Saccharomyces cerevisiae S288C: one gene and its partner. Changing the gene in region 1 together with any one later gene gives a genetic interaction. Each region holds a gene or a part of one and is shown on either strand. Other genes may lie near its edges.

Region 1 (5,446 bases):
CACGATTTCCTCATTGTTGAAGATGATCCCTACGGTTATCTGTACTTTCCTTCCTATAATCCGCAAGAGCCATTAGAAAACCCTTACCATTCTAGCGACCTGACTACTGAACGGTATTTGAATGATTTTTTAATGAAATCATTCTTGACTTTGGATACAGATGCCCGTGTCATCCGTTTGGAGACTTTTTCTAAAATTTTTGCTCCTGGATTAAGGTTATCCTTCATCGTTGCTAATAAATTCCTTTTGCAAAAAATCTTGGATTTGGCCGACATTACTACAAGGGCCCCCAGTGGTACCTCACAAGCTATTGTTTATTCTACAATAAAGGCAATGGCTGAGTCCAACTTATCGTCCTCTCTTTCTATGAAAGAAGCAATGTTTGAGGGTTGGATAAGATGGATAATGCAGATTGCTTCTAAATACAATCATAGGAAAAATCTTACTTTGAAAGCCTTATACGAAACAGAATCTTACCAAGCTGGTCAGTTTACCGTTATGGAACCCTCCGCGGGTATGTTCATCATTATTAAAATCAATTGGGGGAATTTCGATAGACCTGACGATTTGCCGCAACAGATGGATATTTTAGATAAGTTCTTGCTGAAGAATGGTGTTAAAGTAGTGCTTGGTTATAAAATGGCTGTTTGCCCAAATTATTCAAAGCAGAATTCAGATTTTCTAAGACTCACCATCGCCTATGCAAGGGATGATGATCAGTTGATTGAAGCTTCCAAAAGAATCGGTAGTGGCATAAAAGAATTTTTTGACAACTATAAAAGTTGAACAGTGAAGATTAAACCTATGTGTTATTTGCATATCATATATAAATTGTAGTTTTTTGTATAAAAGTTGGGAAAAAGTTATAGTCGCGTATATTTTAAATTACTCTAAGCAACTAAATGGTCACGGTTTAGAGCATGAACTTCTGAATCCTTTTCCAAATTGCATTTAGCACCGTACTCGCTTTCAATATAGCTCAAACGTTCTTTCAGACCGTCCAAAATTTGGTCGCTATCAGGTAAGTCCACTGTAAAGCCCTTTATCAAGCTATATTCGTGTGTTATTTTACCCCCTATGTCCACCACATATTTTTTGACATCTTCAATAATGCTATTCTGGTCCGTAGCCATATTATCCGTCTTGGGGAAAGTTACGATGTATGATGATAAGGAAGATGCCTGTGCCATGGAGAATATGCTAATGAAAATCAAAACTAAGTAACTGGCCTTCATATATATGCTATAGTCTGTTACACAATAGATTTAAATGTTGTAATATAACGAGGAAACGCAACTTATCCATTTGTTCTCTCCATCGCATCGCTTTTTCTTAAATACTTTTGCCCCCCACCCCTTTATCCACTTGCGTTTTCCTCTTTTCTTCGCCTCTTTTTGGTAGCGCCGACCGATCTAATCGGAATAATCAAATTTAATAGGAACTGAATATTAGAAATTATTGAAGTCAATATACTGTAAAAACTATAAATCCTGTAACGAACATAAAAAAAGAAAACATAAAGGAAGCGCGTGATGTATCAGTAACATCACATAGTACAATAAAAAAGAAAGAGAACACTGATAATAACTGTACTGAAGACAAACAATTAGGAAAGTAACGACGATCTTTCTTTCGTCCAGTCATCATAACAATATGTGTTTTTGTTTTTGTTTTTGTTTTTGTTTTTGTTTTTGTTTTTGTTTTTATTTTATTTATTTTTTGCTTATTTTCGTAGTACACAACACATAATCATCTTATTGTTGACTAACAGGGAAGATTTGTTGTAACTCGCTACTACTTGTGACTTGATTATGGATAGCAATAGACAACAAAGTTTGCGCTTGGATTGGTGACAAGTACCCAGCAGAAATTGCACCTTGTGGAATACTTGTGTTACTTATGAACCCAATTCCTGAACCATCATGACCACTGGATCCATCACTTGCATAAACGACAGGGAAGTCGACCGATGTCCATGATGCCACGGTACTGTTGTGACTTGTACCAGAGCTGACAACAACCAAACCTTGGATACTAGAACTTAGTGATTGAATTAAGCTTTGAGAATATCCTTCTTCGTATATAATTGGAACCAATGGACTGGAGGATGATGAGGATGTATTGGTCCCGGAGGAGGCATTAGAAGATATTTGTGCGCTCGTAAAATTCGAGTATTGAGTTCTGATTGTGGAGTTGCTGGCAATCAGAGTTGGCTCACAGGCATCAAAGAACCATTGAACATTCTTCTGACCAGACAAAACGCCCACAGGAACAGTGTAAGGAGGGAAAACACCAGAATACACAACTTTATCTCTACCGGCAACCAAAGTGCCTCTACCTTCCGCGTCCGAACTACTCAATATTGGTACACCCCATAAGAAATTCTCAGTAATGACAATGGTCTTTGATGTATTAAAAACGATTGAGCAGAAGAAACTCAAAGTTTCAATGGAACGCCAGTTTGTGACGATTATAATGCCGGAAGACGATTCGCTTTGTAAAGTCTGATTAACTTGAGTAGCAATTTGGTAAAGTTGAGTGATGTTTAAGGTGGAAGTAGAGTTGAATAGCGTTGTGGTAGTAACGTTTGACTGGCTACCAGATACAGCAGGTCCACCCGTGATGATCACGGGGACCGTACCGCCGCCAGAAGTAACGTTCTGCCTCTTGTAAAGTGGTGTTGCAGAAGCTGTTAAAGTTGCAAGAAAAAATGCTAGCACTGATGTGAATTTCATAATAGCTGATTGGGTTCTTAGATGTGAAAACTGATCGAAATCAAATACTAGAGCATGATTGATAGGAACAAGAGAAACCAAAAGTGTTTTTAGCTTTCCTCCCAATTTTTATAGTATTCTAATGAGTAACGTCTTAGGGGAATTTTCAACAAGGCATTTCTAAAAGGGGATGCTAGTTGCACATTCTGAGAGAATCATTTGTACACGTTTTTCCCTATTTTCTGCTCATAAACCGAGGATCATCAGCGTTAAATGTAATTGCTAAGCCAAGAACTTTTGCTACTCTAACATTACATATTTGAAGGGTACAGTGAGATTCCCCAACAGGAATTCGCTTCTGTACATCAGCCGGTATTCGCTGAGAACTACTGTAGCCCTTAACTGTTGAATGATCTTTTTCTGGTAGATCATCGGCTTCTTTTGACGCAGGAAAAGGCCCGTGTCACTTCGGCTTAGCTTCTTTCGGCGATTTTCAAGGGAAGCGTCTGCACCTTAACGCAGACAAATGACGCATGATATGCACCCTTAAGGCGGACTTGATCTTCAGATCCCTCAAATGGTAAATGTGCCATAAGGTGGCCAAATTCCAACTAAAAATGATAAATAGGTAATGAATTGTTCACTATGCAGCGTTGCCACCGTTACGCCTCCCCCTTATTTTTCATTTCCGTTTCCATCCAGTTTTTCAGCCTCCTTGAACCCTACCATTAGTAATGGAAGCAATAATCTCATAGCAGCAATTGAAAAAAAAAAAGCATATTCGCTCACATTAAAATAATGAGATAACATGAGATGGCTTGGAATTATAAGCGTTCGCTGACCTGAAAAAGGCGCGGGGCTAATGGACCCATTCGTTAAAATGACCTTAAGCATCCACACATGCAGAATAAAAGAACTTAACCTATTCCTTAGGAAAGTTTATGTATTTGCTGGTACCCTCTTCCTTCTTTGGCCTCTTTTCTGACGTGAATGTCACATGTTAACATTTTTGTCAAATAGCGTCCATCTATTTGAACAAATGCTATCATTTTTGGGGATACAAATTCTATAAGAGGTTCCTGTTTGCAGCATCTAAAAACAGAGCGTGAAACGCATGCAGAAGTGACATATAATCCTTTGTTTAAGCGACAATTAAAAATAATGATCGCTCTCTTTTCCTTTTCAGACTTGCTCATTAAATTTGACAAGATCCGCGGATTAGAGAAGTCTGCGCTTCGCATTTAATGAAAAGATCTCCGATAAGTATATAAGTCCCTTTTTTCTCGAATTATATAAGTCACTTTCTATATGTCAGTGATTATCTCTACACTAGTCTTGCTGTATTCTTAGCAAATTTTTCTCGTATTTTAAAACCATAATACAAGGAGAATCCATGATGTCTTGTCTGGTACCAACACGTTTTACTTTGACCCTTAACACCGCGTGTCTTTTGACGAGCACCTGGGGGTTTGTTAGGGCCACATCTGTAGTCTTACCTCCAAGTTTAAGTAAAGCAGGCCATAAACAGTTTCTAACCATTATATCTATTATTGCAACAATCATTAATAACGCGGTTAACATTTCTAATTATTATATCCAAAGAAACAATAAGATGAATCTAGAAACCAAGAAAAAATCAGACTTTATTAGTAGACATGTCACTTTGCCAGTTTCTTTAGTATTAGAATCTATTGTTGCTACCGTTTATTGGCCGCTTAGATTGTTTTTTGTCAACTTAATAATGCATGGAGTTGAATCTACTGCAAAGACACCTTTTCCTATGACAGTGGATATGGCAATCCACTTATATCCTATTTTATATTTACTAGCCGATCACTACTTATCGGGATCTGGCACGAAATTCAAATTATCGAATAAGCATGCATGGCTCATTGTAACCAGTTTAGCATTTTCATATTTTCAATATTTAGCATTCCTGATAGATGCGGGGCAAGGCCAAGCCTATCCATACCCGTTTCTAGACGTGAACGAGCCGTACAAGTCGATTATATTTGTTGTTGTTGCTACTATTACGTGGGCTTATTATGTATTTTATCAAAAGTTTCCGCCAAAATACATCAAGAAGTCGGCAAAGAAAGGTGATAAGAATTAGCATTACTACTAGTATACTACTATTTAAGCTCTTTGTATGTAAAGTGAGCAAATCTCAAATTTTGCTACTTAATTCTTATTTTCGTGCTAGCCCTACAACGGAACCCAAAAAATCAATCACCAGGGTAAGCGGGAAAAAAAAAAAGTGTAGGAACCGCACTATAAAAAGTCGAAGGTTTGTATTAATTTTCCACACCTCTTTAGTTTTGTTATAATCAAATTCCTTTTGGTTTTTGTTTTAAAAAGGCCAACATCATAATTATATCGCGAATGTACTACTAGTATATGCAGTTTTCTTAAAATTGCAGGGAATGACTAAAAGCCCACGTTTTTCCCACTTTTAGTAGTACTGAAGCGTAGATAGATTGAACGTTGCTGGGCGCCTGGTGTTGATCATTTCTGAAATGAGATATTGGGAATCAGCTGTATCTACATTTTATTTATACATATTTATTTTTACTGGTTCTTAGTAACGTACTTTAGTAGCAATGCTGTGTTTTAGTGCGAACGCCTACGTGTCTTGTTAACTTATCATGGTTGCCAACGCGAACGTTTACAACAGGTTCAAAGGCAGGATGAAAAATTACGCCAAATAGGCAGGTTTTCAATATTAAAGAGTT
Region 2 (6,647 bases), on another chromosome or scaffold:
GCGATGATCCAATCGTGAAACAACAGGGCGACCTTAGGGTTCTCCTTGATGTTGTAAAACTTTTGTGTGTCCTGAGGAGAAACAAATATAATGTAGTCATTCTTATTATCTGTTTGACCGAACAGTTTTTCACCTGGCACATAGATATAGTTCATCAATGCCACTGAAGGGATGCAGTCTTTAGAACAGGTGGCCACGTGAACATATTTGGAGTTTTTGATCAGGTTCAGTAGATGCGCTGGTAATGTACTAGTCCAAGCCATAATTGAGATGTTTCAGGGTTTGAATAGCCTGTAATTTTACTGCTATTTTCTAATAAGGGAGGAAAAGTGTAGCAAAAAGATCGATGATTTATATTCCTTCAGGTTCATAAGGGGAGCAAATGTCAAAGCGCAAACGTGGGAAGTGACGATAATACATGTATCCCATTAAATTATCATATTATTGTTACATCATATGTACGTACATACATGTGTAAAATACGGAGGTCTACTCTGTAGTTACACGCGTGTTGGAAGTTTTCTTCTGGGACCACGAGTCCTATTTTTATTCGGGTGAACTAATGGTTTAGTTTCCTTCACTGTTTCATCTCTAGAAGTAGTATACTTGTCAGAAGTTGCAATATTAGTGTTAACACCGCTAAGTTCTGGTAGAGTATTAGATGCTCTTAAGTTTCTAGAGGCAATTATTGCGTCTAATTTTGCGTTTATGCTCAGTTCGTTTGAGGACTCTAAAACAGGCTCGGTTTTAGATTTTTTCATCAATTCGACTTTTCGCAATGCCTCTGGCAAAGAAATTTTACGTTGTGGCGCCGTTGGTGGCCGTTTCTTCAGGTTATTCCGCAATGATAGAGCTTCAATTTCGTCATTTAACTTGTTAATATCATCACCATTTTTGAGTGTAGTATTTTTCGAATTATTTGTTAGAAATGATTTTTTCTGAGGGATTGCAGGCTTCTGCTGTTTGGTTTTCTTCAGATTTTGTATACCTTTTATTGCTTCTGGAATACTGTCCTCCTCTTCTTTTTTAATGTTACGGTTGCTGGATCGTAACTTGGGCAAATCGATTGAGTTTTCGAAGTTCTGCTTTGTTGGAGAAGTTTCTACGGGACGTAGCTCAGGTAATACTATATTCAACTCCACTTTCTTTGGCGGTATGCTTGGTTTGGTCTTATGGGCGGCCAAATTTGCATTCCGTAGCTTTTGAGGTTTTTCAGGCAAAGAAGGCTTGGAAGTTGTCGTGAGATTCGAGTTTAGCATAGACTTGATAAAACTTTCAGATCTTGGAATTCTTTTCGCAGGTGGAGAAGGAGGGGTTGGTTTAGGTTTATTTTTCATTGTAGGAGATAAGGTGGTTGGTTTTAGTTGTATGGAATCCAAGTAATCGATATGAGAACTTTTTACAGTTGTTTTGGGAGTTTCCATTTCCGAATTATAACTCTTCGCCTTTGTCAATTTGTTATCTTCCAAAGAACTTAAAAAGCTCGCCGGTTTTGTAGAGCGTGAGACAGGTGGAGCAGGCTTAACGCGCTCAGGTACCACAGCATCCGGTTTTATTGACCTTGATGACGGACTTTCTGTAACTTCTGCTTTGTTAGGCCTTGTTGGAAGAAGCGGTTTCTCTTCATTCCCATCTGTGATTTTGATATGATCACGCCTTGTGGGCAAAGGCGGTGGTGATGAAGAAGAGGAGGAGGAGGGTATATCGGCTCTTCCTGGTAATTCAAAATCATATTGGATGGTGATTATTTCCTTCTCTCTCGGTCTGGGTCGACCCCGACTGGGCATACGAGGACCTTTTTCAAAGGAAGGCAAATTTTTGTCAGCATTGGAATCATTATATGTTTGAGAGGCTTTCAATTTCTGCAATAATAAATAATCTTCTTCAGAAATTAAAAATTTTTTTTCTTTTTGAGAGGCACTTCCCTCCAAATCCGGCCTTGGCGTTATTCGTTCGAGATTCAGCTCACTTAATGAGTAATGAGTCTTCTTTGGAGAAAACGTCATTTCATAATTGTACGCAGATCGGTAGGCCAAATTGTCGCAACCTTCCACATTTTTCCCTGTCATCATATCAGCCCTTCTGTATTCCCCAGAGTTGTGACTTCTAACTGGTGAAAGCGCTTCCCCCGCTGGTTTTGAACTAGGAATATTACTGTATCTCTTAGAGTTCAAATCCTCCACTTTCGATAGAAAGTTCACCAATTCAGGGTCACGCTCATATTTTGTCATACTTCCGAAACTTCGAAAAGCTAGGAAAAGCTGGTTACTGTGACTTTTATTGATTAGAATTCATATATAAATGTATATATTTATACTATATATTCTTTCATAATATTTCACTCAATTCGCTATTGTCGAAAAGTGTAATAAAAAAGAATGTCACATGGAACGAGGTTACGATAAGTATATAGAACAGTTGGACGATATTAATGCATTTGGTATTATCCTATTGGCTTCAAGACTAACGCAACTCGATCGAAGGTTTTCTTCTGGCTAGGTAAACTTGGAACCCACAGAATACGAAAAACACGAGGTATACCAAGGCAGCCAAATAAACAGTATGTGCAACACTATAAACAATAGGGTTAAAATATAATTGTTAGTAAGGAGGAGAGATATAAGAGATGGTAAATGGGTAACGGCGAAATAAATAAGAAAATATAACATACGCAGGTCCATCTTCAGGATCGTTTATTGATCCTACAAAGGATTCATGGTTTGTGTTGAAGAGATGAGCAATGACGGAAAGAATTACTACACCAAATGCCGATAGGACGGTACAACACCATGCCTTACCAGTGGATACAACGGGTCTCATTTTTTTTGCGGTGTTTGCTTCTAGCTTTGTCCTTTATCGTAGAGGTTCTTGCTTTGAAAGCTACCTATTCTTTTCTTTTCCCTTAAGCTATTTTTCAAATAATAGAAAAAAGAGTCGCGTGCAAAGCGATAAGCAATTTTTTTCAGTCTTTAAAAAAAATGATCCTGAACAGCAGCATCTTTATTATGCAGCGTTGATGCAGTTTCTAACTCAATTAGTTGAATCACCTACGCTCTTCTGTGTTTGCACTCAGTAGTATTGTGGTGTTCTTTTCGATATTCTCAGATACCGTTTATTGTGCGCCATACCGATGGATGCAGAAATATCATTTAAATAGTTAAGCCAGGAAGTGGCTGAGACATATTATCAATATTTCGGCACGTAAAGCTAGGCGGCTTTACTGAACATCAGCACCTTGAATTTCATGTTGCCTTGTATGTACAAACTAAACCCTTACTCAGTAATAAAAACTAAAATGTGTCTTCTAGTTATGAATGCTCTTAGTATAACTCTCATGAAGCAGTCAAGTCACTTTCATGTATTTTATAATACGAGGCGAATGTCTAGGCTAAGTTAAAAAACTAGATATAGAAACCATTCCCGAAATATCATATAATTATAATATCCTGGACACTTTACTTATCTAGCGTATGTTATTACTCGATAAGTGCTAAAGGAGGTGCACGCATTATGGAGACCACTACGATACGATAGCTGCGTTGTTGTTGAAGGGGTTTCTTAAGGTTGTTTTCGTTGAAGGTAAATATTGGTCGTTTTTGTGCAGCATATTGTCCTCTAGATGCAAACTCTGCAGGTCCATTTGCAGTAAAGTGAGTTGCCTCTCGAAGAATCATTAATTTCGTATAACCGTCACTATTAAAGTCAGAAAATAAATTCTGTCGTAGACAATGTTACCATAATGTTCTTGTCCATTTTGCATACACTTTAAATATTCATTTGATTTCTCAGGGTTCATGATCATAATAAATTGCGCATTCGCAAGGCGGTAGTATTATAATGGGGTCCATCATTCTGTAGCAAGAAGTTACAGTACGCTGTTCAAGCGTTAAACAAGATAAGTAATCTCGAATGAAACATTCATATTTCGCATGAGCCAACATACAGTTGCTGAGTAATCTTCATTGCGCTTATTTATCGGCATTGAGATTGTAAAGGAAGTAAAACGCATTTTTGCAGATCTGTTCTCTTATGTATTTTTAATCGTCCTTGTATGGAAGTATCAAAGGGGACGTTCTTCACCTCCTTGGAATGTGTTCCACTATCCTGTACATGTGAAATGTATAAAAGCCAAAATTGACCTTGTCATTACCAATGAATGCTGTTTTTGCAGAAATAACGAGATATCTGCAATAAAAGCAAAAGTAAGTTTGATAGCAAGAGGTTGTTGTGTTGAAATGAGTGGTAATGAATCGTAATATGAGTTGCTATGGTAACAATTTAAATGCACCCATTGTATATGTTTTAGTGTGAAGGTACCTATTGCAAAAGGAAACGTTAAAAGAGTAGCTCAGACAGTGCTGAAGCAGAGATAAGGTTATATTAATTGAGCATGATACGTTTGTTATACGAGTTGCTACATTAAGTGTTATGGTAATTACCAGACGCATTGTTATATTGATCATAATTAATGTTGAACCAATCGGCGTATATTTTATGCCCCTCTTATACGATTATATTAAGATCCATATTCAACCTTCATTAATACTGCCTTTTTGCCATTAATTATCAATATTTTAGAATATATCTCTCCAATACAGCGTTACCAATATGGTATGCCGAGTCTTGGGTTGCCAAACTAAGAGGCCATGGAATATATTTGAATGTTTGTGATTTGGCTTCATTGTAACATGTAAGTGAACATCAAAAGAGTAGGCATTAAAAGATGGGACGTCAGCACTGTACTTGTTTTTGCGACTAGATTGTAAATCATTCTTTATTTAATCTCTTTCTTTAACTACTGCTTAAAGTATAATTTGGTCCGTAGTTTAATAACTATACTAAGCGTAACAATGCATACTGACATTATAAGCCTGAACATTACGAGTTTAAGTTGTATGTAGGCGTTCTGTAAGAGGTTACTGCGTAAATTATCAACGAATGCATTGGTGTATTTGCGAAAGCTACTTCTTTTAACAAGTATTTACATAAGAATAATGGTGATCTGCTCAACTGATTTGGTGATAACTCTAACTTTTTTAGCAACAATTTAAAAGATAATTCGAACATATATAACAGTAGGAAGAATTTGTGTACGTCAAATTAAGATAATTTAGCATTACCAAAGTTATTAACCTAAACATAAAATATATATGAGACACATGTGGAAATCGTATGAAACAACTGTTATGAAACTGACAAGAATGAATATATAGAGTAAGCTCCGCTTGTAAAGAGGAATCACTTAAGTGTATAAATGTCTCGACGATTACTTTAGATCCAAGATTGATGATTGATATTACTCTGTAATACTTAAGCTCTTTTAATAGCTCACTGTTGTATTACGGGCTCGAGTAATACCGGAGTGTCTTGACAATCCTAATATAAACAGTCTTAGGGAAGTAACCAGTTGTCAAAACTGTTTATCAGCTTGATTCACGGGATGTTACTTATCCTATATATTATATAAAATATGAATCATACTAAATGGTGGAAGCGCGGAAACTCGGATCTAAACTAATTGTTCAGGCATTTATACGTTTGAGTTGTTCAGCTAGGGGAGGCCGGGTTTTACCTCATGTTGTTCGTTTTGTTATAAAGTTGTTTCATATGTGTTTTATGAACGTTTAGGATGAAGTATTGTCATACTGACGTATCCCATTTTGAGATACAACATCTTTAACAATATAATGGTCTCTTGGCCCAGTTGGTTAAGGCACCGTGCTAATAACGCGGGGATCAGCGGTTCGATCCCGCTAGAGACCATTTCTTTTCTCTTTCTTTTTCTCGAAAGAGACAGTTCAACTTATTTTTTTTGGGAGCACTAGGTTAATAATCCTATTTATTTCTGAATATAAATGATATATGTTTTTCTTAGTAAAAAAGAAATAATCTATAAATCATCAAACTTCTTGATCCCATGCTCATACAGGTCCTTTTTTTTGTTGTTCTCCTTCATTATTTTTCTTTTTTTGACAGATTTTGAGTTGGATTCTTTTTCCTCTTGATGATCTTCCTTGAGGTCCTTATCTAATTCGTCTAATAGCTCTTCCTTTGAGAGCCCGACAAGCGTCGTTTCATCATCAGAACTAGTGTCATCACTTAGATCCTCATCAGAGTGGGAGAGGGGTTCGTCGCTATCGGACTCTACCGATGCATTTTCCTCTACATCATCACTCGATAATTCCCATATCTTGATGTTTTCCAAACCACCAGAAACAACACGGTATTCAAAATCTAGATCAACAAAACTGACTTCATCCAATTCACTGTGGTTTCTTATCTCGACGACTTTTCCCAATTTGGCATTTACTTTATAAATGTTACCATTGGAACAACCACACCATACACAGTTATCATCTTGTAAAGTAGGAACAATGCAATCGATACTTTCATCTTTGCTAATTTTAATACGGCTCATTTGATCTTCCAAATCATTCTTATTCGGTTTCCAGACGGTAACAATACCCTCGCCCATCCCACACAAAAGGGTATCTGCTACTTCGGGATCGACGAAACAACCACAAAGAACTTCGTCCTCCTGATCATCGCTGATCAAAATTTTACCATCCTCGTTTCCAGCTACGTTCGGTTTGGCATCTTTGTCGCGAACGTCAAAATAAGCTAACGTTGTCTGGCCCAAAGAAATG

Evidence for each region. Genes that interact genetically often act in the same process or in processes that back each other up.
Region 2: mutations in YHR140W (region 1) and BSP1 together harm fitness more than expected from each alone (negative genetic interaction), as found in Saccharomyces cerevisiae (2 studies listed by BioGRID).

What each region holds. Positions count from the first base shown.
Region 1 is NC_001140.6:376,465-381,910, forward strand, and holds YHR140W (uncharacterized protein), read left to right. Parts: upstream 1-4,107; coding exon 4,108-4,827; downstream 4,828-5,446. Other genes in the region: ARO9 (aromatic-amino-acid:2-oxoglutarate transaminase), read left to right, coding at 1-786; YHR138C (uncharacterized protein), read right to left, coding at 891-1,235; SPS100 (Sps100p), read right to left, coding at 1,755-2,735; YHR139C-A (uncharacterized protein), read right to left, coding at 3,644-3,955.
Region 2 is NC_001148.4:879,412-886,058, reverse strand, and holds BSP1 (Bsp1p), read right to left. Parts: upstream 2,232-6,647; coding exon 501-2,231; downstream 1-500. Other genes in the region: YPR172W (pyridoxal 5'-phosphate synthase), read right to left, coding at 1-263; YPR170W-B (uncharacterized protein), read right to left, coding at 2,464-2,572, 2,672-2,820; JIP5 (Jip5p), read right to left, coding at 5,891-6,647. UniProt on the Saccharomyces cerevisiae protein: Recruits the capping protein complex to actin patches and the actomyosin contractile ring, and/or stabilizes their interaction. May serve as an adapter to link INP52 and INP53 to the cortical actin cytoskeleton. Binds F-actin.